Linked DNA regions of Oryctolagus cuniculus. The protein of the gene in region 1 interacts with the protein of each later gene in a biochemical or structural test. Links are inferred from orthologs where the notes say so. Each region holds a gene or a part of one and is shown in the gene's direction. Other genes may lie near its edges.

Evidence for each region.
Region 2: the proteins of ubiquitin-conjugating enzyme E2 D3 (region 1) and RFFL form a complex in vitro, tested with the Homo sapiens proteins (5 studies listed by BioGRID). The link is inferred for Oryctolagus cuniculus from reciprocal best matches to the Homo sapiens genes UBE2D3 and RFFL.
Region 3: the proteins of ubiquitin-conjugating enzyme E2 D3 (region 1) and NEDD4L form a complex in vitro, tested with the Homo sapiens proteins (7 studies listed by BioGRID). The link is inferred for Oryctolagus cuniculus from reciprocal best matches to the Homo sapiens genes UBE2D3 and NEDD4L.
Region 4: of the proteins of ubiquitin-conjugating enzyme E2 D3 (region 1) and UBA1, one has a biochemical effect on the other in vitro, tested with the Homo sapiens proteins (10 studies listed by BioGRID, with this or other methods). The link is inferred for Oryctolagus cuniculus from reciprocal best matches to the Homo sapiens genes UBE2D3 and UBA1.
Region 5: the proteins of ubiquitin-conjugating enzyme E2 D3 (region 1) and RNF111 form a complex in vitro, tested with the Homo sapiens proteins (3 studies listed by BioGRID). The link is inferred for Oryctolagus cuniculus from reciprocal best matches to the Homo sapiens genes UBE2D3 and RNF111.
Region 6: the proteins of ubiquitin-conjugating enzyme E2 D3 (region 1) and TRIM23 form a complex in vitro, tested with the Homo sapiens proteins (4 studies listed by BioGRID). The link is inferred for Oryctolagus cuniculus from reciprocal best matches to the Homo sapiens genes UBE2D3 and TRIM23.
Region 7: the proteins of ubiquitin-conjugating enzyme E2 D3 (region 1) and SIAH1 form a complex in vitro, tested with the Homo sapiens proteins (3 studies listed by BioGRID). The link is inferred for Oryctolagus cuniculus from reciprocal best matches to the Homo sapiens genes UBE2D3 and SIAH1.

The regions. Positions count from the first base shown.
Region 1 is NC_091438.1:28,033,138-28,036,709, reverse strand, and holds ubiquitin-conjugating enzyme E2 D3, read left to right. Parts: upstream 1-1,169; 5' UTR 1,170-1,342; coding exon 1,343-1,786; 3' UTR 1,787-3,072; downstream 3,073-3,572. UniProt on the Homo sapiens protein: Accepts ubiquitin from the E1 complex and catalyzes its covalent attachment to other proteins. In vitro catalyzes 'Lys-11'-, as well as 'Lys-48'-linked polyubiquitination.
Region 2 is NC_091448.1:39,258,572-39,262,071, forward strand, and holds part of RFFL (E3 ubiquitin-protein ligase rififylin), read left to right. Parts: intron 1-3,301; coding exon 3,302-3,500.
Region 3 is NC_091441.1:20,107,563-20,111,062, reverse strand, and holds part of NEDD4L (E3 ubiquitin-protein ligase NEDD4-like), read left to right. Parts: coding exon 1-1,031; intron 1,032-3,500. UniProt on the Homo sapiens protein: E3 ubiquitin-protein ligase that mediates the polyubiquitination of lysine and cysteine residues on target proteins and is thereby implicated in the regulation of various signaling pathways including autophagy, innate immunity or DNA repair.
Region 4 is NC_091453.1:32,736,062-32,739,561, forward strand, and holds part of UBA1 (ubiquitin-like modifier-activating enzyme 1), read left to right. Parts: intron 1-96; coding exon 97-194; intron 195-312; coding exon 313-459; intron 460-571; coding exon 572-748; intron 749-848; coding exon 849-953; intron 954-1,041; coding exon 1,042-1,122; intron 1,123-1,449; coding exon 1,450-1,605; intron 1,606-3,500. UniProt on the Homo sapiens protein: Catalyzes the first step in ubiquitin conjugation to mark cellular proteins for degradation through the ubiquitin-proteasome system.
Region 5 is NC_091443.1:81,954,437-81,957,936, forward strand, and holds part of RNF111 (E3 ubiquitin-protein ligase Arkadia), read left to right. Parts: intron 1-1,274; coding exon 1,275-1,367; intron 1,368-2,507; coding exon 2,508-2,603; intron 2,604-3,500. UniProt on the Homo sapiens protein: E3 ubiquitin-protein ligase. Required for mesoderm patterning during embryonic development. Acts as an enhancer of the transcriptional responses of the SMAD2/SMAD3 effectors, which are activated downstream of BMP.
Region 6 is NC_091445.1:86,572,744-86,576,823, reverse strand, and holds the start of TRIM23 (E3 ubiquitin-protein ligase TRIM23), read left to right. Parts: upstream 1-1,280; 5' UTR 1,281-1,493; coding exon 1,494-1,574; exon of another isoform or gene 1,575-2,006; coding exon of another isoform or gene 2,007-2,075; intron 2,076-4,080. Other genes in the region: TRAPPC13 (trafficking protein particle complex subunit 13), read right to left, coding at 748-793.
Region 7 is NC_091449.1:32,098,063-32,101,562, reverse strand, and holds the end of SIAH1 (E3 ubiquitin-protein ligase SIAH1), read left to right. Parts: intron 1-1,307; coding exon 1,308-2,158; 3' UTR 2,159-3,239; downstream 3,240-3,500. UniProt on the Homo sapiens protein: E3 ubiquitin-protein ligase that mediates ubiquitination and subsequent proteasomal degradation of target proteins.

The DNA.
Region 1 (3,572 bases):
GGATTCAGTAAGTACCAGCTATTATTGTAATCCCTGTTAGAAGGGTGATGATACGTCATAGGACTTCAAAATATCTTACAGCAAGCTGGTTCTTTCTGGCTTATAATCAAGCAATTTCACCACCTATGCAGGAGATGATTTGTAGTTGGTGCATGTAAGAATTGAAATGAAAATAAATCTAAACAAAATGTGCTATTAGAGCTCATTCATCTGTCTTTTAGAATTTTCGTTGCTTCAGGGAAAACTAAATGGAAGAGGATGGCTAAGGAATCCTCCTTTGTTACTTGTATGAGTTAATGCATCTAACAGGAGGCTGGTTCTTAGTGCCAACATCTTGGTAATGCTTTGATAACCCCTCATGTGCTGAAAAAGTCAGGATGTTTGGTCCTGGTGGAGAGACTGGCAATGACTGAATCGAGCTCCTCAATATTGTTAATTTGGCAGCTAATATTGGCAAGTCTCTCAGTTTTATAGAACTAATTTTCTTCCACTGTAAATGGGCACTCATTATTTATGTCTGGTCAAGGATTCTGAGTGTTCTAAGATCTCTATATTTCAGGCCCTAATTCCTGAATAAGCTGAAAGACTGATTGGTGCATACAAAATGCCTTTGTCAAATCTTGTTTATCTCTGCGGGTCACATTAGATGTTGTGACTATTTCTCATGCTGGTATAGCTTGATCCAGTTTCTGGCTCATTACATTTGTTTCCTTACGCCAATAATTTTTCTCTCACAGCTGAAATGCTCTATTTGCTTCCACCTCACACCATTCTTGGCCAAATTTTCAGGGAATGAATAAGGTTGTGATATAGATCTCAAGTCTGCCACAGGCACCCAACTTCCAGGCAGGAAAGGAAAACAATGAATGTAGAAGAAAGAAATATGACTGCAGCAAGAGAAGGTAGAAACTGAATTTATCCATCTTCCTTTGCTTTCTCACAATGGAGCCCTTTGTGAAGTTAACTGCTGTTAAAAACAAATTGTCATGAAAAGAGACTCAGAAGGTAGGAAGACAAAGATCAATTAGAAAGCATACCGATTCAGTAGTATGATAAGCTAAATATTTGGAGAAATTTACTCAATATAAAATTCCTATCAAACTAAAACTCCACAGCATTTTTAACCAATATTCAAGAGTGAAGATGAAATTAAGATATTTTCGAGCCGTCCACGTCGTTCTCGCGATACCCGCCGCCTCCATACCAAGCGCCTGTGTCTGGCAGAGCCGGCGTGAGACCAAGAGACAATCCTTCCCCGCCGCCCGGATAATCAAGAGTTTTGGCCGGACCTCTGAGCATACACCGAGAGAGGGAGAGAGGAGCCAGACTAAAAGCACAGACTATGGCGCTGAAACGGATTAATAAGGAACTTAGTGATTTGGCCCGTGACCCTCCAGCACAATGTTCTGCAGGTCCAGTTGGGGATGATATGTTTCACTGGCAAGCCACAATTATGGGACCTAATGACAGCCCATATCAAGGCGGTGTATTCTTTTTGACAATTCATTTTCCTACAGACTACCCCTTCAAACCACCTAAGGTTGCATTTACAACAAGAATTTATCATCCAAATATTAACAGTAATGGCAGCATTTGTCTCGATATTCTAAGATCACAGTGGTCTCCTGCTTTAACTATTTCTAAAGTTCTTTTATCCATTTGTTCACTGCTATGTGATCCAAACCCAGATGACCCCCTAGTGCCAGAGATTGCACGGATCTATAAAACAGACAGAGATAAGTACAACAGAATATCTCGGGAATGGACTCAGAAGTATGCCATGTGATGCTACCTTAAAGTCAGAATAACCTGCATTATAGCTGGAATAAACTTTAAATTACTGTTCCTTTTTTGATTTTCTTATCCGGCTGCTCCCCTATCAGACCTCATCTTTTTTAATTTTATTTTTTGTTTACCTCCCTCCATTCATTCACATGCTCATCTGAGAAGACTTAAGTTCTTCCAGCTTTGGACAATAACTGCTTTTAGAAACTGTAAAGTAGTTACAAGAGAACAGTTGCCCAAGATTCAGAATTTTTTAAAAAAATGGAGCATGTGTATTATGTGGCCAATGTCTTCACTCTAACTTGGTTATGAGACTAAAACCATTCCTCACTGCTCTAACATGCTGAAGAAATCATCTGAGAGGGAGGGAGATGGATGCTCAGTTGTCACATCAAAGGAAGCAGCATTATTCTAGCAGCATCCATTCTTGTTTAAGCCTTCCACTGTTAGAGATTTGAGGTTACATGATATACTTTATGCTCATAACTGATGTGGCTGGAGAATTGGTATTGAATTTATAGCATCAGCAGAACAGAAAATGTGATGTATTTTATGCATGTCAATAAAGGAATGACCTGTTCTTGTTCTACAGAGAATGGAAATTGAAAGTCAAACACCCTTTGTATTCCAAAATAGGGTCTCAAACATTTTGTAATTTTCATTTAAATTGTTAGGAGGCTTGGAGCTATTAGTTAATCTATCTTCCAATACACTGTTTAATATAGCACTGAATAAATGATGCAAGTTGTCAATGGATGAGTGATCAACTAATAGCTCTGCTAGTAATTGATTTATTTTTCTTCAATAAAGTTGCATAAACCAATGAGTTAGCTGCCTGGATTAATCAGTATAGGAAACAATCTTTTGTAAATGCAAAGCTGTTTTTTGTATATACTGTTGGGATTTGCTTCATTGTTTGACATCAAATGATGATGTAAAGTTCAAAAGAATGAATATTTTGCCATGTTCAGTTAGAGTGCACAGTCTGTTACAGGTTGACACATTGCTTGACCTGATTTATGCAGAATTAATAAGCTATTCAGATAGTGTAGCTTTAATATGCTGCACCGTGATACTGGCAGCCCTGGAGTTCATAGATGGACTTGGGACCCAGCAGTTTTGAAGCGTGTATATGGAGTTTTAAGAAATTTATTTTCCAGGTGTAGCCCCATCTAACTAAAACTTATCTTCACCTTGTACACTTGACAGCTGATAAAAACATAACTTGGGAGTAATAATGGGTCAAAATTTACAAAATAAAGTACTGTTTTGGTGTGGGAGTTGTCATGAGGCTGTGTTGAAGTGACTTAACTATGTGGGATATTGAGTATCCATTGAAATGGATTTGTTCAGCCATTTACATTAATGAGCATTTAAAACAGATCATTTCAGGTGACTTAACATGAATGAATAAAATGCTATTGAAAAAAAAAAAAAGAAATTAAGATATTTTCAGACAAAGAGAAAATTTACCAACCACAGATACTCACTGGAAGAATAACTGAAAAAAATCTACTTCAGGTAGAAGATTAAAAGTATTATTAAACTCAATGGTTAAGTCCCCACTTCAGACACCTGTGTTCATATCAGAGTGTCTGGTTTGGAGTTACAGCTCCACTTTCAATTCCAGAAACCTGTTAATGCACACCTTAGGAAGCACTGGTGATGGCTCAAGGAGTTGGTCCCAGACTGAGTTCAAGGCTCTTGACTTTGGCCTCACCCAACGCTGAATGCTGTGGGCATCTGGAACGTGAACCAGCAGATAGAATATCTCTCCTGGTCTGACT
Region 2 (3,500 bases), on another chromosome or scaffold:
ATCTCATAGCTACTGAATGGCAGAGCTGGAGTTCAAACTCAGGTCTCTGACTCCAGAGCTGCCTCCTGGAGGACACTGAGCGCGTCAGGTGCAGATAACAGATTCTAGGCCTGGGTACCTAAGAGCATGACAACGATTAAAATAAGCAGCCCCCCACAATTGATTGGAAATAAATTATTGACTATCTGCTGTGTGTCAGGCATTGCCTGGGTTAGGAAGCTGAGATACTTAAAAGGGAGCTTGCAGTAGAACAGGGAAACTGGGGCAATATACACCATCCTATGAGAAAAGAAAATGTAGCAAGAAGAGCTTTGTGGAGGTAAGAAAACTTGCAATTTGAATAGTGAGGGATGGCTACTGCTTCAGTATTTCCTTGTTAGAAAAGTACGAATTAATTTTGAGCACTCCACAATGAATGTTGTGAATGCTAAGGATGTTTTCACATATGAGGATTTTTCATTTGTAATTTCATGCTCAAGTGGATCAGCCTTCTTATCTTAAGGGTTTGGCATTTAACATTTAACAGCCAGAGGCTTTTAAAATGTCTTTTCTGGAAGTGGTTGAACTGAAACGATTACATGATCCCACTGTCTTTTTCTTTTTTTCATTATGGTCAGTATTTTCTGAATGCTCATTGAGTGTAAACCACAGATAACATTAAGGACTTTGTAGAGAGAACATAAGTAAGGTATGTCCCCTGTGTTCCCTGAATTTCCAGGCTTGGAGAGAAATGGCAAGCTGTCGTTTTGCCCCAAGCCAATATGCCATCTGAATTGAGCTCTTCCCCCGTGGTTTAGCAGGGATCTTGGCACCCAGCTTCTTGAGTTGGCCCAGCTTGTGAAGGGAGGAGAGGTTGTGCTTGGAAACATGGAAGTAACACTCAAATCTCAGAGTGGAAAGAGGCGTGGCTTTAGGTATTGGCAAAGCTCAGAGCTGAGACAAAAAGGAAAGGGAATGAAAGGCGATCATGTTACCTTTTTGTGAGTATTCACTGTGTGCTAAAGTTTTATAATTCTTTATCTCATGTCAGACTTCCAGTAGTGCTTCCACTGGTGGGATGAGGAGGTGGGCCTGACCAGTGCCAGGAAATAGGGGCGAGGCGTGGGCAGGAGTTGGGGAAGGGCACAGTGGCAAAGAGAAGCAAGTCAAGCACCCCATGTGATGCCCTTGAAGGCCATGCCTGCCTGGGGTGCTGCTTCCAGATCTCCATGTTTAATGCTTGAGTATACGCTGGGCATTTCTGCAAGCACATTGCTTCCAGGAATTCATCTCTTTTATTTATGTATTTTGCATTTTAAGGATTTATTTATTTATTTGAAAGTCAGAGTTACACAGAGAGAGGAAGCGACAGAGAGAGAGAGAAAGATCTTCCACCCACTGATTCACTCCCCAAATGGCTGCAACAGTTGGGGCTGAGCTGGGCTATAGTCAGGAGTCAGGAACTTATTCTGGGTCTCCCACGTGGGTACAGGAGCTCAAACACTTGGGCTATCCTCCTCTGCTTTCCCAGACACATTAGCAGGGAGCTGGATCAGAAGTGGAGCAGCCAGGTCTCTAACTGGCACCATAGGGGATGCCAGTGTCGCAGGTACCTTACCTTCTACGCCACAGCACCAGCCCCACAAATGCATCTCTCACCCACCTTGTTATGCAGTTGGTCTGCACAATTTGCTGGAATTATACCCAGGCATTTGCTTCGCTCCTGCCCTCAGCAGTCATCTTGTCCCACCTCGTGTTGTCTCCTGCCTCTGCAGGCTGGGATTTTAGCCTGGAGCAATACCCCACTCCAGGGAGTGTTTCAGATGCCCCATTGCTACACAGTCCGGGTGAGCAGGGGTCTACAGATGCTGGGTTGCTCTTTGCATTCTGATCTCGCATTCAACAAGCTACACACATTTGAAGAAAGAACAGGGAGTTGTTTGGATCTGACTGGCTGAGCTACTCAGGCTTTATAACTCTCATGGGCTTGAGTGGTGTCCTGTGTCAGGACCACAGCTTCATGCCATTGAGGCCCCTCTGTGTCACTGTCAGTCATCCTAAACACATTTCCAAGTAGGAAAGCTTTAGATAGGAATGAACCCCCAAATGCCCCAAAACACCCTTTTTCCAGCTGCATGGCTGCTAGTCCCAGAACTGTTAATGAAGCTGTGTGTCCTTGTGAGTGGTCTCTGAACAATCCCTTGTGTGGCGTGAACTGTGTAGGGAAGGAGGCAGCTCCATAGGTGTCTCATGGCCATGCTTCCCAAGCCTTTACAGCCCTCACTGGGTGGTACACGGTATGCCCTCTTCCCTTTACTATGTGATGATGCGTAAATGTGAGTGAAATAGAACTCTCTTAACTGTGCAGACTTGGTTCAGGCTCCACTCAGCCGTGTCTGTGATCTTGACTGAGAATCTGAGTCTCTTGGGCATTCTCTAGCTTGAACAGTCTTCTATATTTAGAATGGAGGGAGCAGAAATATTTAGGTTAATCCTTAAGTCACCACAGGATGAAAAGTTTTCAACTTATTTAGAGGATTAGTGAGGGTGCCCTTAAGGATGATCCTGGCATGCTTGGGAATTACCTCTTCTGTGGGAGTGTGACCTGCACTTGGCCAGAGCAGAGCTCAGCCAGCTGTCACTCGCTCAGCCTGTGGGCCAAGAGGCCAAGGATTCGTACCCTGTGGGCTGAGCGAGCCACGTGGGTTGTCTGTGACTGCGGGAGGAGCGCCTGCCAGGCAGTACCAGCTTGCCTGCCAGGCGCTCCTGTCGCCTGACTCAGACACTCTGTACTTTCACAAGCGAGAGCACACTGATGTCCAGAGGGCCTCCAGAGCTGTCTAAATATTTGTCTTGGACAAGGTTGTATGTATCACTGAATTCCCAGTACTCTGAGTGGGCCTTTCTCGAGTAGAGAAACCTGGCACCAGCTTCGTAATCTTCCCTGTGTTACTGCCCCCATTACAGATGTGGAAACGGTCAGAGAGGCTAAGTTACGCACTGTGAAAAAGTTGGGGCAAGAAGAGTTAATAAAAAGGCAGAGCTTTTCAGTTCTAAGGAATTAACACAGCTTTAGGTCCTGTGTCAATAAAATGAAGAAAGTAAGCCTTAAATGAGCTGAGTAGAGTAGCACCGTGTGCACAGGCACACAGGGAGTCTGTGTTTGACCTGCAGAGCAGTTCGCACCCTCACCTGCTCGCCTAGGAGACAGTCAAGAGTGACTAGAGGAGATCCGCGAAGCCTGGGAACCCCAAGCTCCCGTCCATTCCCTGTCCTGTTCTGTGTGTCTGACATGCTTTCCTCTGCCCTTTGCCCTAAACAGCAGACCTGCTTGGACTGTAAGAAAAGCTTCTGCCTGACCTGTTCAAGCCAAGTGGGGAACGGGCCCCGCCTCTGCCTCCTCTGCCAGCGGTTCCGGGCCACAGCCTTTCAGCGAGAAGAGCTCATGAAGATGAAGGTGAAGGAGCTGCGGGACTACCTGAGCCTCCACGACATCTCCACGGAGATGTGCCGTGAGAAAG
Region 3 (3,500 bases), on another chromosome or scaffold:
CCGAGATCCTAGACCAGGAGAGAGAAGAGGACTTTTTCATGGCATTCCACACGCTGCCGCGGAGGAGCAGCCCGCACCCCTGCGCCCCGCACGGCACCGCGCCCGGTGGCGGCGGCCTGCAGGACAGCGTGGGCGCTCTCAAGCGCAGCTCGTCCATGTTCATCCCTCAGCTGCTCACCGGCCTCGACGCCCGGCCCACGCGCAGCTCGTCCGTGCAGATCTCCCTGCAGCGCAAGGCCGCCGATGGGGCCACCGACGGGTGCGGGCCGCCCGAGGGCCCCGAAGGCCACAGCGAGGACGGGGACCAGGCCGCGGCCGCCAGGGCCCTGGCCCCGAGTGGAGCCCCGGAGCCCGCCCAGAGGGACGTGTCTGGGGGCTCCCCACCGGGAGCCGCCCGGGACCCAGGCCCGCTGGTCAACGGCACTTGCGGCCGCCTAGTGCGGGGCCCCGGCCGCGGCGAGGGCTCGGAGGAATCCGTGCCCGGCCTGCGCATCCAGCACCGCGCATCCAGCGCGGACGTGCGCCAGGTGCGGCTGCTGCCCCTGGGCCCCGATGGCGCCGCCGAGCCCAGGCGCTGGTCCTTGCAGCACGTCCCGGATGCTGCTGGGAGCTCCGGGAAGCGCTGCTTCGTGTTCCAGCTGCAGCAGCCCCCAGTGGGCAGCCCGGGGCTGGGCGGCGACTTCAACTTCGGCTTCACGGGCACGAAGGGCGACAGGCTGGTGCGCTATCCCCGCATCCGGCTGGAGAGGAGCACCTCGTACCCTACGCAGCCGCGGGCCGGGCGAGGGAGCCCCACGGAAGACCGGGCCGCACCGGAGGCACCGCCGCGGGCCGGCAGGATGGCCCCGGAGATCCGCAGGACGAACTCGGCCGAGAGGGCTGCACAGGGCCAGGGTTGCATGTTTAAGATCAGGCAGGAGCCAAACGTTGGGCAGCAGCATTTCCGGATTCTGGTCACCCGGGAGCCCGAGGAGGCGCCGGCCACTGCCACGGAGGACCCCGCTGAAAGCCCTGGTCCCGCCGGGGCCGTGGTAAGTGCGCGGCCAGGGCTCGAGTTCTGGCAGGCCGGGACCATGACATTCGGCCCAGTGTGCGGGAGAGGCCCGCAAGGCTAGTGAGCGGTCCAGAAAGTGGCCTGTCTCTAGGCCCTCAGAGTTGGAGAAACCTGTTTTGGAAATTCAAGCAAAGCATACTATTTTTTTTTCTTCCCTCTCGCTTCTGTATAGAATAATTTTGAAAATTTATTACTTGAAATTAATCTGCCAAAAAAACAGGTCGGTGGCCCGGCATGTCTCGGTGCGGCCTGGCACAGCCCTCTGGGGTAAGGAGCAGGCGGCGCCGCAGAGGGCTCGAGGCGGAAGGCGGGTCTCCCTTGCAGCGCCTGGTGGGAAGGGGGCGGCCCTGGGGTCCTTCATCGCCTTGGGTTTTGTCCTGTGAGCACTGAGCAGGAGCAGGGTGGGCCAGGAGGAGATGGCGTTGTTGAAGCAGACAGGCTCCTGGGCCGAGGCTGGGGGTCCCTAGGGGGACCTCGCCGCCTTCCAAGCTGGGAGGGCCCCTGCTCCGGCTGTGGCCATGTCCACCCTGGAGCGGCTGTGGCCTGTGGGTGACATGGAGCAGAGAGAGAGTTGCCGGCCTGCTGGCGAGGGTGACGCTGCGGCTTTTCCTGCTGGGAGCGGGATGCGGGCGCAGTCCTCGGCTAGTGGCTGCTGGCTCGCAGGCGCTGCCCGGAAGAACCAGCTCCCTGCGTTTCAAATTGGATTCCTCCCTCCCCACCACCACCGAATTTCATGTGATTGCGAGTTTGAGGATGTGATTATGAAATGCCTGGGGGATTTTTTGGTTTGGGTTTCACTTGCGAGTTATCTTCAGAGTGAGTGGTTGAGTATTAACTAGAATTGTGTTGCCTTTTGTTCGGAAATATTTCTGTCATTCAAGTGAGCTTTATCCCTGTTCTATCACTGGTTCTCACTGTTTGGAAGGTGCCGTCCAAAGCTAGGTACAAATGTATTTCTCTTTTTTTTTTTTTTTTCTTCCCTCTTCCATTAGGATTTTATAATCTTAAGCTTACTTATTCGGAAATAGCTTCATCCTTTGTCTTGGTCCAGATCCATGCCGGTTTTTACACAGTGGTACAGATTTCTGTGGCGATTAGGTATAAGAGTGGCTTTCAGACCCCCCACCCCCACCCGGGGGGTGACCGTCGGGACAGTTGGAAGCTGTTATTTGGCAGCACAGGTCCTTCCATGCTGAACTTGACCACCGACCCTTGAAGATGGTCAGAAGCCACTCCTGAGGGTTCCCCAAGGGTTCAGTTGTGTTACAGAAGCATAGACCACGTTGCACCTCGCTCGTCAGGTGCAGGGATTGTTCGCAATCCAAGTCTCATTTGGCTCGAAATTTCTAATACCACTGGAAAATAGAAGAAGCTGAAAATCGTGTGTCTGTTATAAGGCCGGTGCCAGTTTGCAGTCCCCGTGGTGGAACACAGAGTCCGGCAATTAGGAGACGTAAATTCTGGACTACAGAGCTTTCCTAGTAAATGGTTGTTCTCATGTTTACACTTACATAAATCGTTTCACGGTCGGGACGTTGGTTTGCTTTTGAGCAAATGCGTTTTCCTTTAAAAAACAAAAACAGAGCCCGTGGCCCCGCAGACCCGCGCGCTCCATTCAGCAGCACTGCGAGCGTTTCCTGTGGACGGGGAGCTGAGCGCAGGCAGCAGCTGCCGCGGCCGGCCGCATTTATCTTGAAGGCAAACATTCGCTTGGGCGTCTACAGTCTGGCTGCCACCGGGGCGCTTTGGCGTTTCAGATATCTGCCGCTTCAGTCAGGAGGGCGTTGCGTGATGAGGTTTACATGAGAAATGAACTGAAGTCGATTACAGCCTGGTTTTGGGATCGTGGGGAAGATCCTTCTCAACTGGAGAATCCGAGGCAGGGTTCCCGTTTCTAAGCGGGCCTCAGCCCTTCCCGCGAGGTCAGGCTCACAAACAGGCCGCAGTGGCTGAATCTGAAATGCACCATGACTCCAAAAATGTTAGCCAGCCTGATTCGTAGGAAAAAATACAGCAGGGAACTCCTGATGATGATAGATTCTTTTCATCCTGTCACCATTAGTTAATAAAGTCGGTTCTTATACTCTTCGAGTTATCATCAGTTTAAATGCTTCAGGGGTCTTAGGTCTTACCAGTTCAGTCTGTGGTCTGATTTAGCAGTCATTTAGTGACTGCCTGAATTGTTTGATTCGGTTAGTTTTTGGTTGATTTGGTTCGGTTTGGTTTCGTTGTGAGCCCCTTGACTACTCTGGGCTTGGAGAAAATTGGGTCAGCATTGCCCAGCTTCGTGGGCCCCGTGAATGCCACCTTGTGCGTGATGACTGCTGAAGTGCACCTGGCACAAGCCGAAGAGCCGGCTTGCCCATCCCATCCGTGTCGTGGGCCGTTTCAGATCTGTGTCGATAGCACCACCCCGGCGACTTGGAAGGTTTAGGGACTGTCTGTT
Region 4 (3,500 bases), on another chromosome or scaffold:
CTGAGCTGGGGGAAAACAATTATTTCTCATACCTTGTGGGTGTGGAGGATTTTTAGGGAGGGTGGGTAGACTTGACAACTTCCCCATCCATCATAGGTCCTTACACCTTTAGCATCTGTGACACCTCCAACTTCTCCGATTACATCCGTGGAGGCATTGTCAGCCAGGTCAAAGTACCTAAGAAGATAAGCTTTGTGAGTGTGTTGGAGAGGGCAGTGGGCTTGGGGGCGGGGGGTGGGGGGGCTGGCTTGAGGCGTTTCCCCCTCTTCTGTTCCTCTCTTCTGGTTCCCATGCCCTGTCTCTCTCCAACAGAAATCCTTGTCAGCCTCGCTGGCAGAGCCTGACTTTGTGATGACGGACTTCGCCAAGTTTTCTCGCCCCGCTCAGCTTCACATTGGCTTCCAGGCCTTGCACAAGTTCTGTGCACAGCACAGCCGGCCACCTAGACCCCGGAACGAGGTGGGACGGTGGGTGGGGGAACCACGCCTCTACCTGTTTGCTCTTTTTCCTCCCATGGTGGCCTGACAGAGCCTCTCTCTTTTTTTTTTCTTTTGTTCCCCTGGCCCACCAGGAGGATGCAGCAGAGCTGGTGACCCTAGCACGCGCTGTGAACTCTAAAGCCTCGTCGGCAGTGCAGCAAGATAGCCTGGATGAGGACCTCATCCGGAACCTGGCCTTTGTGGCAGCCGGGGACCTGGCGCCCATCAATGCCTTCATTGGGGGCCTGGCTGCCCAGGAAGTCATGAAGGTCAGTGGGAGTGGAGAATTAGGGTCCACCACTTGGCCGTCCACCTGTGTCAGGCCCCAGTTAATCGCTGGCCACCTCCTGTCTCCTTCCCCATCCCCAGGCCTGCTCTGGAAAGTTTATGCCCATCATGCAGTGGCTGTACTTTGATGCCCTTGAGTGTCTCCCGGAGGACAAAGAATCCCTCACAGAGGACAAGTGCCTCCCGGTAAGTGAGTAGGGCCTGTGGGGAAGGCATCATTGGGGACGTTTCTGAAGAGGGCCCTCTCTCAACCTCCTCCCTTCATGCTCCTCAGCGCCAGAACCGTTATGATGGGCAGGTGGCTGTGTTTGGCTCAGACCTGCAAGAGAAGCTGGGCAGGCAGAAGTACTTCCTGGTGAGTGATCCCATTGGACACCTGCTACCTTCACCTCCCCTGGCTTCAGGCCCTATCTCTTCCAAGGCCACCTCCTGCATCCTGAGGGAAGAGGGAGGGTCTTTTGTTTCTTGTACTCATATCACATCTCTTCAAGGAAAGTTGTGTGTCCTTGTCTGCCTATCTGGTGCCTCCTTCCTCAAATGACTAGGTTTGGGGACCTGAAGATGTACTACTAGACCTTCTTCCTCTCTCCTGCTGGCTCGGGGGGACTAAGGAGTGATGGGTGGTTTTGCACTAACCTTCATCACCCTGATCAGCCTCTCTGTCTTCTTGGCTGCCTCTTAGGTGGGTGCAGGGGCTATTGGCTGTGAGCTGCTCAAGAACTTTGCCATGATTGGGCTGGGCTGTGGTGAGAACGGAGAAATAATTGTCACAGACATGGACACCATTGAGAAATCTAATCTGAACCGACAGTTTCTATTCCGGCCCTGGGATGTCACGGTGAGTACAATGGGGTCCAAGGTGTTCTTTCATCCCTCTGTCCCTCACTTTCTCTTGTCATTCATTCGAGAAACCTCCACCCTGTTTTCTTTGATCTCTTATCAGTGCTGGTTGTGACTGTGTTGAGGGCCTCTAAAACTACTCCAGGCTTGATGATTCACTGGGAGAACTCACAGGACTCGGCGTGTATACAAGCTGTGGTGGTTTTTTTTTTTTTTTAATGATTTATTTATTTATTTGAAAGGCAAAGTTACAGAGAGGCAGAGACAGAGAGGTCTTCCATCTGCTGGTTTACTGCCCAAATGGCCAAAGCCAGGAGTTTCTTCCGGGTCTCCTACATGGGTGCAAGGCCCAAGTACTTGGGCCATCTTCTACTGCTTTCCCAGGCCACAGCAGAGAGTTGGATCAGAAGTGGAACAGCCGGGACTCAAACCGGTGTCCATATAAGGTGCCGGCACTGCAGGTGGCAACTTTACCCACTATGTCACAGCGCCAGTCCCAAGGCTGTGGGTTTTTGTTTTTGTTTTTGTTTTTTTTTTTTTAAGATATATTTACGGGGCCAGTGCTGTGGTGCAGTGGGTTAACGCCCTGGCCTGAAGAGCCGGCATCCCATGTGGGCGCTGGTTCGAGACTCGGCTGCTCCACTTCTGATCCAACTCTCTGATGTGGCCTGGGAAAGCAGTAGAAGATGGCCCAAGTGCTTGGGCCCTGCACCCATGTGGGAGACCCAGAAGAAGCTTTGGCTCTCAGCTTCGGATTGGCGCAGCTCCGGCCATTGCAGCCAATTGGGGAATCGGCAGATGGAAGACCTCTCTCGCTCTCGCTCTGCCTCTCTGCTCTCTGTGTAATTCTGCCTTTCAAGTAAGTATGAAAGGCAGAATTACACAGAGAGAGGGAGAGATAGATTTTCCATTCATTGGTTCACTCCCCAGATGACTGCAGTGGGACAGGCTGAAACCAGGAGCCAGCAACTCTACCCAGGTCTCCCACGTGGGCCATCTTCTGCTGTTTTCCCAGGTGCATTAGCAGGGAGCTGGATTGGAACTGGAGCAGCCAGGACTGTAACTAGTGTTTTTATGGGATGCCAGTGGCGTCACAGGTGCTGGCTTAACACACTGTGCCACAACATGGGCCCCAAGGCTGTAATTGATTATAGTGAAAGGATACAGACCCAAATCAGCAAAGGTTAGAGGCCCATGGAATGAAGTCAGGTTCTAGTTTGTAAGAGTTGTCTCCTAGTGGAGTTGCACAGGACATGCTTAGTTTCTCCATTCAGGGATTTGTGAGAAGCTTATTAGATACCTAGTACTCAGGGATTTTACTGGAGGCTGGTCCTATAGCAAAATTCCAGATTCCCGGAGGGAATGAACCACATTGTTTGGGGGCACAGTTGAGGCTCATTGGACCATCGTGACCTGGTAGAGAATCATGGGCACCTTGCAGACATCCAGGGTCCCAGACCGCAGCCAAGGACTAACCTTTCTAAGGACTGTGGTTTAAATCAGTTGGGTTCACAGATCTTGGCACAGGTGGAAACTGGGTTATACAGGGATCTCTGGGAGGCCTTCCACAGGACTGTCATTTTTGCTTGCCCAGAATCTAGTTCCCTTTTCATTCATTCACCAAATAGTTAGGTATAGGTGCTGCTCTAGGCCCTCGGGGTACACCAAGGAAGAAGTAGATATGTACAGTACATACAGTATCATAGTGAGGTCTGTGGTTAGGTGGTAATGAATGCTCTGCAAAGGAAAAAGGGAAAAGAAGGAAAGCTGGGTGTGCCAAGGAAGTTGGTTTGCAGTTTTGAGTACAGTGGTTAAGGAAGACCTCCTTTCTGCAAAGACTTAGATGTGAAGGACTAGAGCGCCCTCTTCTGGGGAAGAGTGCTGCAGGCCAAG
Region 5 (3,500 bases), on another chromosome or scaffold:
GTGGGTGCAGGGGCCCAAGCACTTGGACCATCTTCTTCTGCCTTCCCAGCTGCATTATCAGGGAGCTGGTCGGAAATGAGCAGCTGGGACTTGAACTGGCGCCCATGTGGCATGTCTGCACGGCAGGTGGAGGCTTAGCTTTCTAAACTGCAGCACTGGCACGAAGACTATTATCTTGAGGTTGAGTTTTGTTGGAAAATTCTGTGCATTTTTATCTATTGATAAGATCACGGGCCAGTGCCGTGGCTCAATAGGCTAATCCTCCACCTAGCGGCGCCAGCACACCGGGTTCTAGTCCTGGTCGGGGCACCGGATTCTGTCCCGGTTGCCCCTCTTCCAGGCCCACTCTCTGCTGTGGCCCAGGAGTGCAGTGGAGGATGGCCCAAGTGCTTGGACTCTGCACCCCATGGGAGACCAGGAAAAGCACCTGGCTCCTGCCGTCGGATCAGCGCAGTGCGCCGGCTGTAGTGCACCAGCCGCGGCGGCCATTGGAGGGTGAACCAACGGCAAAGGAAGACCTTTCTCTCTGTCTCTCTCTCACTATCCACTCTGCCTGTCAAAAAAAAAAAATAATAATAAGGTCATATAATTTTCCTCTTGAAGTTTGAGGTACCAAGAGCATCAGGATTATGTGAGAGTGTTTGCTACATAGGATTCTTTATGTAAATCAGGAAATCTTTATTTCATGAAACAACTGTTTTTTTTTTCTATTCTGATCATATTGTTAGTGTTATGAGAGGTTTTTTTTTTTAGAGATTTATTTATTTGAGGGACAGAGTTACATAGAGGTGGAGGAAGGGAGGGACGGAGAGAGGGGAGGGGAGAGAGAGAGGGAGAGGGGTCTTCCATCCACTCTTCCATCCACTGGTTCACTCCCCAGATGGCCACAACAGCTGGAGCTGGGCTGGTCTGAAGCCAGGAGTCAGGAGCTTCTGTGTATCCCACACGTGTGCAGGGGCCCAAGGACTTGCCTCATCTTCCACTGCTTCCCAGGCCATAGCAGAGAGCTGGATTGGAAGTGGAGCACCTGGGACTAGAACTGGTACCCATATGGGATGCTGGCACTGCAGGTGGTGGCTTTACCTGCTACACCAGTGCCAGCCCCACTACTGAATGCTTAGTTGTACTTATGTGTATTTACTAAGGTTGATTGAATTTTTGAGTACTTGGAGAGCAATGAATATCTTGAATTATTCAGTGTTAATAGTCAGTTACACATCTGTTCTTAACTGATTTAGTCTGTCTTTTTTTTTTTTTTTTTTTTATTAAAACAGGTTCCTGACATGGCAGGCTATCCTCATATCCGTTACATTTCATCAGGATTGGATGGAACATCATTCAGAGGTCCTTTCAGGGGCAATTTTGAGGTATGTAATAAGTGAAGATATGTATCACAGTATTTTCAGTGCAGAAGAATATATATATAGATATGTTGCTAGTATTCATAATTACGTAGGACTAATACAATGACTGGGAATCATGAAGCAGTAAAATGTACCATTTTCTGATATTGCTTCTGGGGTTATAGAAAATTTGATAGGAAACATTAATCTTAGGTTAAAAAGTATTTAAAGAATAAATTAAAATATCTAAATATAAAGATATATTAAATCAGTATAAAAATAGTGAACAATATAATTTAATGTATGGGGAAAACCTTGATGCTTTTTTTTTTCTGGTTTTAATGATTTATTTATTTCGGGACAGGCATTGTGGTATATTGGGTAAAGCTTCTGCTTACAGTGCCAGCATCCCATGAGTGTTTTCAAATAAATAAATCTGCAGAATTACAAAGAGAGAGACAGATCTTCCATCCTGTGGTTCACTCCCCAAATGACCACAAGGGCTAAGGCTGCACCAGACCAAAGCGAGGAGCTCCCACATGGGTGCAGGGGCTCAAGCACTTGGGCCAACTTCCACTGCATTCCTAGGCATATTAGCAGGAAGGTGCATCAGACATGGAGTAGCCAGCATTGGAACTGGGTCCCATACAGTGTGCCAGTATTGTAGGCAGCGGCTCAACCTGCTGCACCACAAAGCCAGCCCCAAACCTTTGCCTTTGCCTGAGCTTAATTTTTAGTGAAACATTGCTGGAGACAAAAATAGCTTAAATAATTTACTTTGTAGCTAAATATTTCAAGTCCTTGTTTCTTCATGTTAGTTTAGAAATTACAGTTGATATGATTTATGAAAATTGTTTAATTTGCTTCCCTAATTTGCTAGAATGAATGATTTCTTCTACATGTGTACAAACTTACTGATTTTGTAATACCATGTGGTAATACTTATATTGTTACCCAAATTTATAAGGATGACTTTGTGAAACTACTTCAGGTGGCTGAGCAAAAAATTTTGAAACCATCATTTGCTATACCATATATAAGAACTGTTGTGTAAACAAACTGTTACCTTGTCAAATGTAAGATTATTACTCCTGTACAGTATTGACAACATTGTTTAAAATATTATCGTCCTGGCTTTTAATCGTAGTTACCCTTCCCTTTCAGGAACTGATTCATTTGGAAGAAAGATTAGGAAATGTCAATCGTGGAGCATCCCAGGGGACAATTGAAAGATGTACATATCCCCATAAATATAAAAAGGTAAGAAATTATTCCATGAAACTTCTAGAATATTATTGAAATGTGTAACGTTCAGTATTATGGCTTTCCGTTGAACTTGTGGAACCTAGTAGATATGTTATTTATTTACTTACTTATTTTTAAAGATTTATTTATTTGAGAGGCAGAGTTACAGAGAGACAGAGAGCAGTCTTCTATCCACTGCTTCACTCCTCAAATGGCTGCAACAGCCAGAGCTGGACCAATCTGATGCCAGGAGCCAGGAGCTTCTTCCAGGTCTCCCACATGGGTGCAGCAGCTCAAGCACTTGGGCCATCTTCCACTGCTTTCCCAGCTATTAACAGAGAGCTTGATCAGAAGTGGAGCAGTCAGGATACTTACCGGCTCCTATATGGAATGCTGGCACTCTCTGTTATTACTGAAGCAAAATATACTTAGGATTAACATTTTCTTGGAAGTACAGAAATAAATTCTTCTTCCAGAATTTTTGTGCCTTCTATAATGTACACACACACACACACATATATTTCTTTTGCATTAAAACATAATACAAAGAGGATGATGTGCAGATAGTTTTGTATGTTGCCTTTGTATTCTGTCAGTACTCAGCTCACCTATATATTTTTTTTTCAAGATTTATTTACTTATTTGAAAGAGTTACAGAGAAAGGGAGAGAGAGAGATAGTCCAGGCACTTGGTTAACTCCCCAGATGGCTACAACAGCTGGGTCTGGGTGAGGCCGAAGCCATGAGCCAGGAGCCTTCTGCAGGTCTCCCATAGGGTAGCAGTGACACAAGCAGTTGGGTCATCCTCTGCTGTTTTTCCCAGGCCTGTAGCAGGGGGCTGGATCCAAAGTGGAGCAGCCAAGACTTGGACTGGCACCCCTAATGGGATGCTGGCACTGCAGGCCACAGCTTT
Region 6 (4,080 bases), on another chromosome or scaffold:
AGGAAGAGCGCCTCCATCTGCTACTTTATTCCCCAAATGTCCCTAACAGGTAGGGCTGGACCAGAGCTGAGGCCAGGACGCCGGACTTCGCCGCGTCTCCCACGTGGGCGGCAGGTACTTTGCAGTACACTGTGGTTATACCGGTTCAGAAAATACTGATAGGAGGAAAAGCTTGCACACCTTCAGCACAGACATAATCTGACTCAAATATTTGCGATCTGCGGTTAAGATTAGGAACCCAATGCGGTGACGGTCAGCCGTACATTTTAACAAATCTACGTTACGCGTGGCAGGGCTATGTATTGCTAAATCCTTCGCACAGTTGCTACGCAGTGCTAACACCCCAGATAAACCTGAAACCTGGTAACTTCCCAGTGCCCACTAAGAGACGAGAGACGGAAGGAAAAGCCATTTCGGATGTTTGCTTTAATGCACCCCGGTTCGCAGAGGTCTCCCCAGTAGGGGCGCGGCCTCGGCTCTGCATCCAAACATCTGGTGACTGCAGCAGCACAGGTCAGGGAGAACGACCAGGTGTCTGTTTCGTTCCAGAAAGCAGCTCTGAAAGCGAAACGCGAAGAGGCCAAGTCGCCTCCTCCTGCTCGCGCCGGACGCAGCGCGGGGCGGCGGGCACCGAGTGTTTTGAGGCCTGGCCCCTGTCACAGAGGTCGCGTCTGTGTGGCAACGGCCTTCGGGAAACTGCGAGAGAAGGGAATAAGACAGAACAACGGTACCTCGGCACACATTTACCTTTCAGCGCCAGCAGGTGCTCCTGTTTGGGGGGATTCACTTCCATTTTGACCGGCACGTCTGACTCCAGGCCTACGGGGGCTGAAGAGGTTCAACTTGGCCCGGAAGGGAAAAAAAGCGTACGTCGGGCAGAACAGGCGTCAAACGTCCTCCCAACAGCTTCTTTGTACCTTAAATTCTCCTTTCACTGCGTCCTTTACGGACCCAACGGCTTCTTTTCACCAAAGCCATCCTTTGGCTCTTGGAGATCTGCACAGAAAATACGGCGTTTTCCGTCTACGATCACACATTGCGACTGGAAGCAACCACTGTAACGATACGCGGCCTCTTAGAGATTAAAAAAAGGGCGAGAACGTGGCATGCCGGGATTTGTAGTGCAAGCAAAAGTCGCGTTGCATGAAGGGAGATGTAGTATCCGCCTTGGCTAGTTTGCCATTAGAGAGCCGAACTCATAACCGGGCCGGGAATTTCACCTTTAAACTTTAATTATGTGTTATCCATTTTTTTCCTTTGACTTTTTTCTTTCAGCAGTTGCAGGCTTCTTAGGAACAAAAACAACACGAGCAGGACTGTGCCTCCAACCCAGCCGAGGCTGACGGGAGGCGGAGCCGCTGACGGGAGGCGGGGCCGCGTCGTACTGGGCCTGTGCGCCAGCGGCGTGCGCGGAGGCCTCTGGGTAGGTGGCTCGACCCCGCCTCCCAGGTGAAGGCTCCGAGGGCTGCTCCTGCGCCGCTGCTCTGCCCGGGATGGCTGCTCTGGTGGTAAACAAGCCTGGAGCTGGGCCGGACAGTGGCCGGCAAGGCAGCCGGGGGACGGCCGTGGTGAAGGTGAGGGACTCTGCGGACTGCGCTCCCCGCTTCGGCCGTCCTCCGGCTCATCCGGGAGACTTGGGCGGCATCCCTGGGGCCCAGGCGCGGCCGCGGCGTCCCTGTGTGCCTGGCAGGCAGGTCTTGGCGTCCCTCCGTCCGCGACCTGGATCCCCGGGCCCGAAGTTGCCGGGTCTAATCCTGCAGATGCCAGCATGCACAGCGGGGACGTTTGTGAGAGGGAGCTGTGGGCCTGTGGGAGTGGCCCGGACCGCTCTTTCTGTAGCCCCTCTATCTTAGTTGAGCCTAGGAGGCGTTAACTCGCTTGGTTTTGTAGAATTGAGCCATTATAGCCTCCAGGTACTGTGTTAGGGGTTTTAGCTGGTTGGCATCTACTCATGAGGTGGATGCTAGCTCTCGTTTTGCAGGAAGGAAACCCAGGTTTCGGTTAACATGGTGTGCGACTTTAACGCCTGCGGCGTCCACTACGGCGCAGCTTCTGTGATTAGACGTCTGTTACTGGTGAGCTGCGCCTTTCCCGCTTAGCCGTACAGCCTGTCGACATGGTTGAGAAGTCTCCAATGGCAGTACAGTTGAATCTTAACTCTGGGGTGCCTGAATGGCCCTATGCTGGAAGGTTGGGATGCTACCATGTATAATGCTCCAAAAATGCACTTACCGAAAAGTCAGTTGAAACACATGGCACTCATTTTCCCTGTGCTCTGAAAATATCGGAGGATTTGACAGAGAGAACTGATCTGAATGGTTCATGCCAACCTTCGGGATTGTCAATGTTATAAGCAATTGGTAATACTATAAGCAATTGGTAATACTATAAGCAATTAGTAATTCTCGTTCCTGACTGCATGTCAGGGTCACCGAGGCCTTTTGTGGAGGAATGGCGCACTTCTGCGGTTATTAGGTTGGCGTTTCTACACATATTTCAGTCCCAGAGTGACTTTGATGTACAACCAGGGCTGAGAATTGTTGAACTAGATAATATCTGAAGTTCTTTTGACCTTTTGCTTATTAGTAGGCACTTATGTTTTCTCACCTAATGTTGGTTTTATATAACAGCAAGTGACACATTTCTGCCCACAACTTAGTCATTATTATTGCTTGTTGATTCAGCTGACCTTTATGTAGTAATTAAGTTATTCTGAATATATAGAGCAGCATATCTGAGATACAGAGGAGCCCTCATTATTAGGCATGTTGTATGGGTGAGATTTTATTTATTGAATTGTGCTTTTGATAAATAGAGAATACCTGAAGATTATTTGTGAATTGACTTGAAGTTTAATTCCATAATTGGAGTATCGTTTACATTTCTGTTACCTTGTTTGCTTTATAATCTGAAAAAAAGTACCAAAATGTGATGCAGAATTTGTTACAGAATTTGATATATTAGAAGCATTTTTAGCATGTTCATTTTTATTTTAACATGTAAAATATTCTGAACTGTGCAATAAGATAGTCCTTTTTGATGAAAGAAGAAATTCATCAGAAAGTGAAAGTTGACATTTATAATGCTAATGCTTTGTAAAATGCTGTCTTGTTTAGTGACCAAGTTGATAATGGCAGGGTTTTTATTGTTAGGAAAAACAAAATCTGATATTGCAAAATTATTTACATTTTAAAATTAATTGCAAAGTTTCTTTTGTTTCCTAAGCTTTCTTATAGTCCTTTTAAAGTATGATCTGGTTTGTTCAAATTCGATTTACATGTAATAAGTTGAAATTTTCTTGTGAAGTATGAAATTTACCACCCCCCATCTAGGATTTAATTTCTTACACTGTTCTCTTCAATAACTGTTCATAGATACTGAGGAAAGACTATCTACTAAGTTGATACCTGAATAATTTTTGGACCTGTGGTTGGCTTACTAAATGGAATTATGCTAATGGTTTTTGAAAAAAAAAAAAAAACCTATAGTAACAACATGAGCAAGTTACCTTGTTTAGTGATGGGTCAGAAGTATAAGTGTGAATGAACTAAGAAAGTTTTTTTTTTTTTTTTTAAAGATTTACTTTATTTGAAAGACAGAGTTACAGAGAGAGGTAGAGCCAGAGAGAGAGAGAGAGGTCTTCCATCTGCTGGTTCACTCCCCAGATGACCACAATGGCCAGAGCTAAGCTGATCTGAAGCCAGGAGCCAGGAGCCTCTTCCAAGTCTCCCACATGGGTGCAGTGCCCCAAGGACTTGGGCCATCTTCTACTGCTTTCCCAGGCCACAGCAGAGAGCTGGATCAGAAGTGGAGCACCTGGGACTCAACCTGGCACCCATATGGATGCTGATGCTGCGGGCCAGGGCTTTAACCTGCTGCGCCACAGTGCCGACCCCAAGCAAAGTTTTAATTTTATTCTTTTGAGGTTATTGTCAGAAATAAATTTAACATGCAGTATTCAATAATGAGAGCATTTATTAAAATCTTAGATTTATTTTATACTGCCTAATTCTATTGTGAATATCTTTTCTGTATTAAATTTGATGAAGTGGAGCTTTTGTCTTCCTTTTTAAAACGATG
Region 7 (3,500 bases), on another chromosome or scaffold:
CTTTGTGCATTATATCTGATCTGTATTGTGGAATGGAAGAACAGAATGACGTACTTTTCTCTGGACTGCAGAATCAAAACTTTTGAGGATGATCTTCCATTTTTTCCCCCTCATTCTTGAGGTGGGCGCTGATAACCTAGTGGATAATGGTTTGGGAGAAGACTTAGTTAATAGGATGGTAGCAGGTGTTTCTCCTTGGCCCCCTTCTTCTGTCCCCAAAATAAACCTCCAGAGCAGATACTATTCACCGTTAGAAAGAGTTAATGTCAGTGCAGATGATCCCATGGCATTTGAACTACACAAGGGTACTTAAAAAATGTTCCTGGAAAATGAAATTAAAAGATAAGTATATATTGGCACACGTTTTTTGAAATCTGTGTAGTTTTTTTCTCAACACATTTCCATGAGCATTTTTTTTTTTTTAAAGATTTATTTATTTGAAAGAGTTGCGCAGAGAGAAACGGAGAGTCAGAGAGAGGTCTACCATCTGCTGGTTCACTCTGCAATTGGCTGCAATGGCCGGAGCTGTGCTGATCTGAAGCCAGGAGACAGGAGCCTCCTCCAGGTCTCTCACGTGGATGCAGGGGCCCAAGGACTTTTGCCATCTTCTACTGCTTTCCCACGCCATAGCAGAGAGCTGGATAGAAGAAGAGCAGCCAGGACTCAAACCAGTGCCCATATGGGATGCTGGCATTGCAGGCGGCGGCTTCACCTGCTAAGCCACAGCACTGCTGGCCCCTCCATGAGCATTTTGAAGATTCATTGTATACAAGGATTTCAACATCTTTTGCACTGAAATAATGTTACCTTTTAATACATTTTCCATGAAATTTTTGTAGTGCCCTGCTGTAACTCTCCCCATATGTAGCTGTTCACAGCTGTCTCGGAATCAGAAAGAAACAGATAGAGGAATATCAGAGAGGGGGTGGAGTGGCAGTCACAACAGCTCTGATTGGATGTAGGCTGCTCACACAGCGTCTCCTGGTTGCTTATGGCTCATTTTCTGTTTCAGCATTTCTTACTCCCATTAAAGACAATTCTTAGCACTGTTTTTTAAAGGGGGGGTGGTGTCTAATTATGTTCTAGAACATTTTGAAAATGGTGTATAACTTACAACTGCTAATAATCAAAATGCACATTTAGTGTCATTTATGTTTTGTTTTTAATTCTATTTTTTATTTTTGCTCACAATAAATTTTGCATGAAGCTTAAAGTATTTCTGGCTTGTAAAAGTTACTGATATAGTAAGTAAAAAGTTGTAATTTTTCTCCTGCCTCCTTTTACTTTTTATTTATTTTTTATTGCAGAAATGAGCCGTCAGACTGCTACTGCATTACCGACTGGTACCTCGAAGTGCCCGCCGTCGCAGAGGGTGCCTGCCCTGACGGGCACGACCGCGTCCAACAATGACTTGGCGAGTCTTTTTGAGTGTCCGGTCTGCTTTGACTATGTGTTGCCACCCATTCTTCAGTGTCAGAGTGGCCATCTCGTTTGTAGCAACTGTCGCCCAAAGCTCACATGTTGTCCAACTTGCCGGGGCCCACTGGGATCCATTCGCAACTTGGCTATGGAGAAGGTGGCCAATTCAGTACTTTTCCCTTGTAAATATGCCTCGTCTGGATGTGAAATAACTCTGCCACACACAGAGAAAGCAGACCACGAAGAGCTGTGTGAGTTTAGGCCGTACTCCTGTCCGTGCCCTGGTGCTTCCTGTAAATGGCAGGGCTCTCTGGACGCTGTAATGCCCCATCTGATGCATCAGCACAAGTCCATTACAACCCTTCAGGGAGAGGATATAGTTTTCCTTGCTACAGACATTAACCTTCCTGGTGCTGTTGACTGGGTGATGATGCAGTCCTGTTTCGGCTTTCACTTCATGTTAGTCTTGGAGAAACAGGAAAAATATGATGGTCACCAGCAGTTCTTTGCAATTGTACAGCTGATAGGAACACGCAAGCAAGCTGAAAATTTTGCTTATCGACTTGAGCTAAATGGGCACAGGCGACGATTGACTTGGGAGGCGACTCCTCGGTCTATTCATGAGGGAATTGCGACAGCCATCATGAACAGTGACTGCCTAGTCTTCGACACCAGCATCGCACAGCTCTTCGCAGAAAATGGCAACTTAGGCATCAATGTAACGATTTCCATGTGTTGAAATGGCAATCAAGAGTTTTCTGGCCAGTGTTTAAAACTGTTGCATTCAGTTTCACAGAGAGCAAGGCACCCGACTGCCTGCCAACCTGAAACTCTTTGGGCAGGTGGAAACTAGACACATGAAGGTAAATAAAAAGAAAGGCTGTTAAATACAGGAAACAGTTGCATGTAGTAACACTAATATATTTAAAAATAAGTCAACAGTAAACCACTGAAAAATATATATATATACACCCAAGATGGGCATCTTTTGTATTAAGAAAGGAAGCATTGTAAAATAATTCTGAATTTTGTGTTTGTTGTAGATTGATTGTATTGTTGAAAAATACTGGTTTTTGTTTTGTTGTTCTGTTTCTTCTGTTATTGCGTGTGTCTGTGTGTGTGTGTGTGTGTGTGTGTGTTTCCCTAACTGACAAGCCATCTGAGTGGTCTTGGACCACTGCTTTTTCCCCTTTGTGAGTCAATACATAGTGCTGCTGTGTTTCCTTGTGTGTGTATATTTGCTAATTTTTATTAATTCTAGTTTTTCATTAAATAAACTTTCTTTTCTGTAATTCAGGTTTTCCTCACTTTTTTGGGTACCTTTTAAAGTCAGTGTCTTCCTGCCCTGATAACTGTTTATGGTGAAGTTTGTGTTCGGGGTACGTTCTCGTTCCCCATTCGTCAGTTTAGCAGACACATTTCATCAGCTGCTTGGTGAAGACAGGCGTTCCCAGAGGAAAGGGAACATTGGGAAACCCGTCAGAAGCCACCCAAGCAGCCACGAGATGGTCTTCTCTCTCCTTTTCGCACTCACTACTTCGTCTCCATTTGAGTCCTATATACAAGTTAGGGAATGCATTCTGATTCATATAAATACTGAAAATCAGGCTTTTTTTTTTCTTTTCCAAATATTGTAGACAAATCACATGATCACATGTTCAAAATTTGTTCTTGTATTTATTGGTTTTGCAAAAAGAAGGCATCGTCACATACAGTGTTTGTAATTAAAGTAAATCATTTGTTTAAAAAAGACAGTTTGCAAAAAATATGTTTTTGGTCTTTTATAATTCTCATTAAAAGAATATCTGGCAAACGGAAAACTCTTAATGTGTCTGCTTTAGCTGTAAGATTGGTAAGGCCCGGGCGCGCTGCCGCCCTGCCCCGCTGCCGTCCTGCCCCGCCCCACCTCAGGCAGGCAGCGTGATGCAGCCGGCGCTCAGCCGCGTGGCCTCCAGACACAGCCATACTTTCTCACCCTCCCCTGCACGCTGCCTGCTTCTTGTGCCTCCGTAAGAACAGCCACCACTTAAAATACTCCCTTTCTCCCCTTTAGGGAACAAAAGTGCGTTTAGTATTTCATA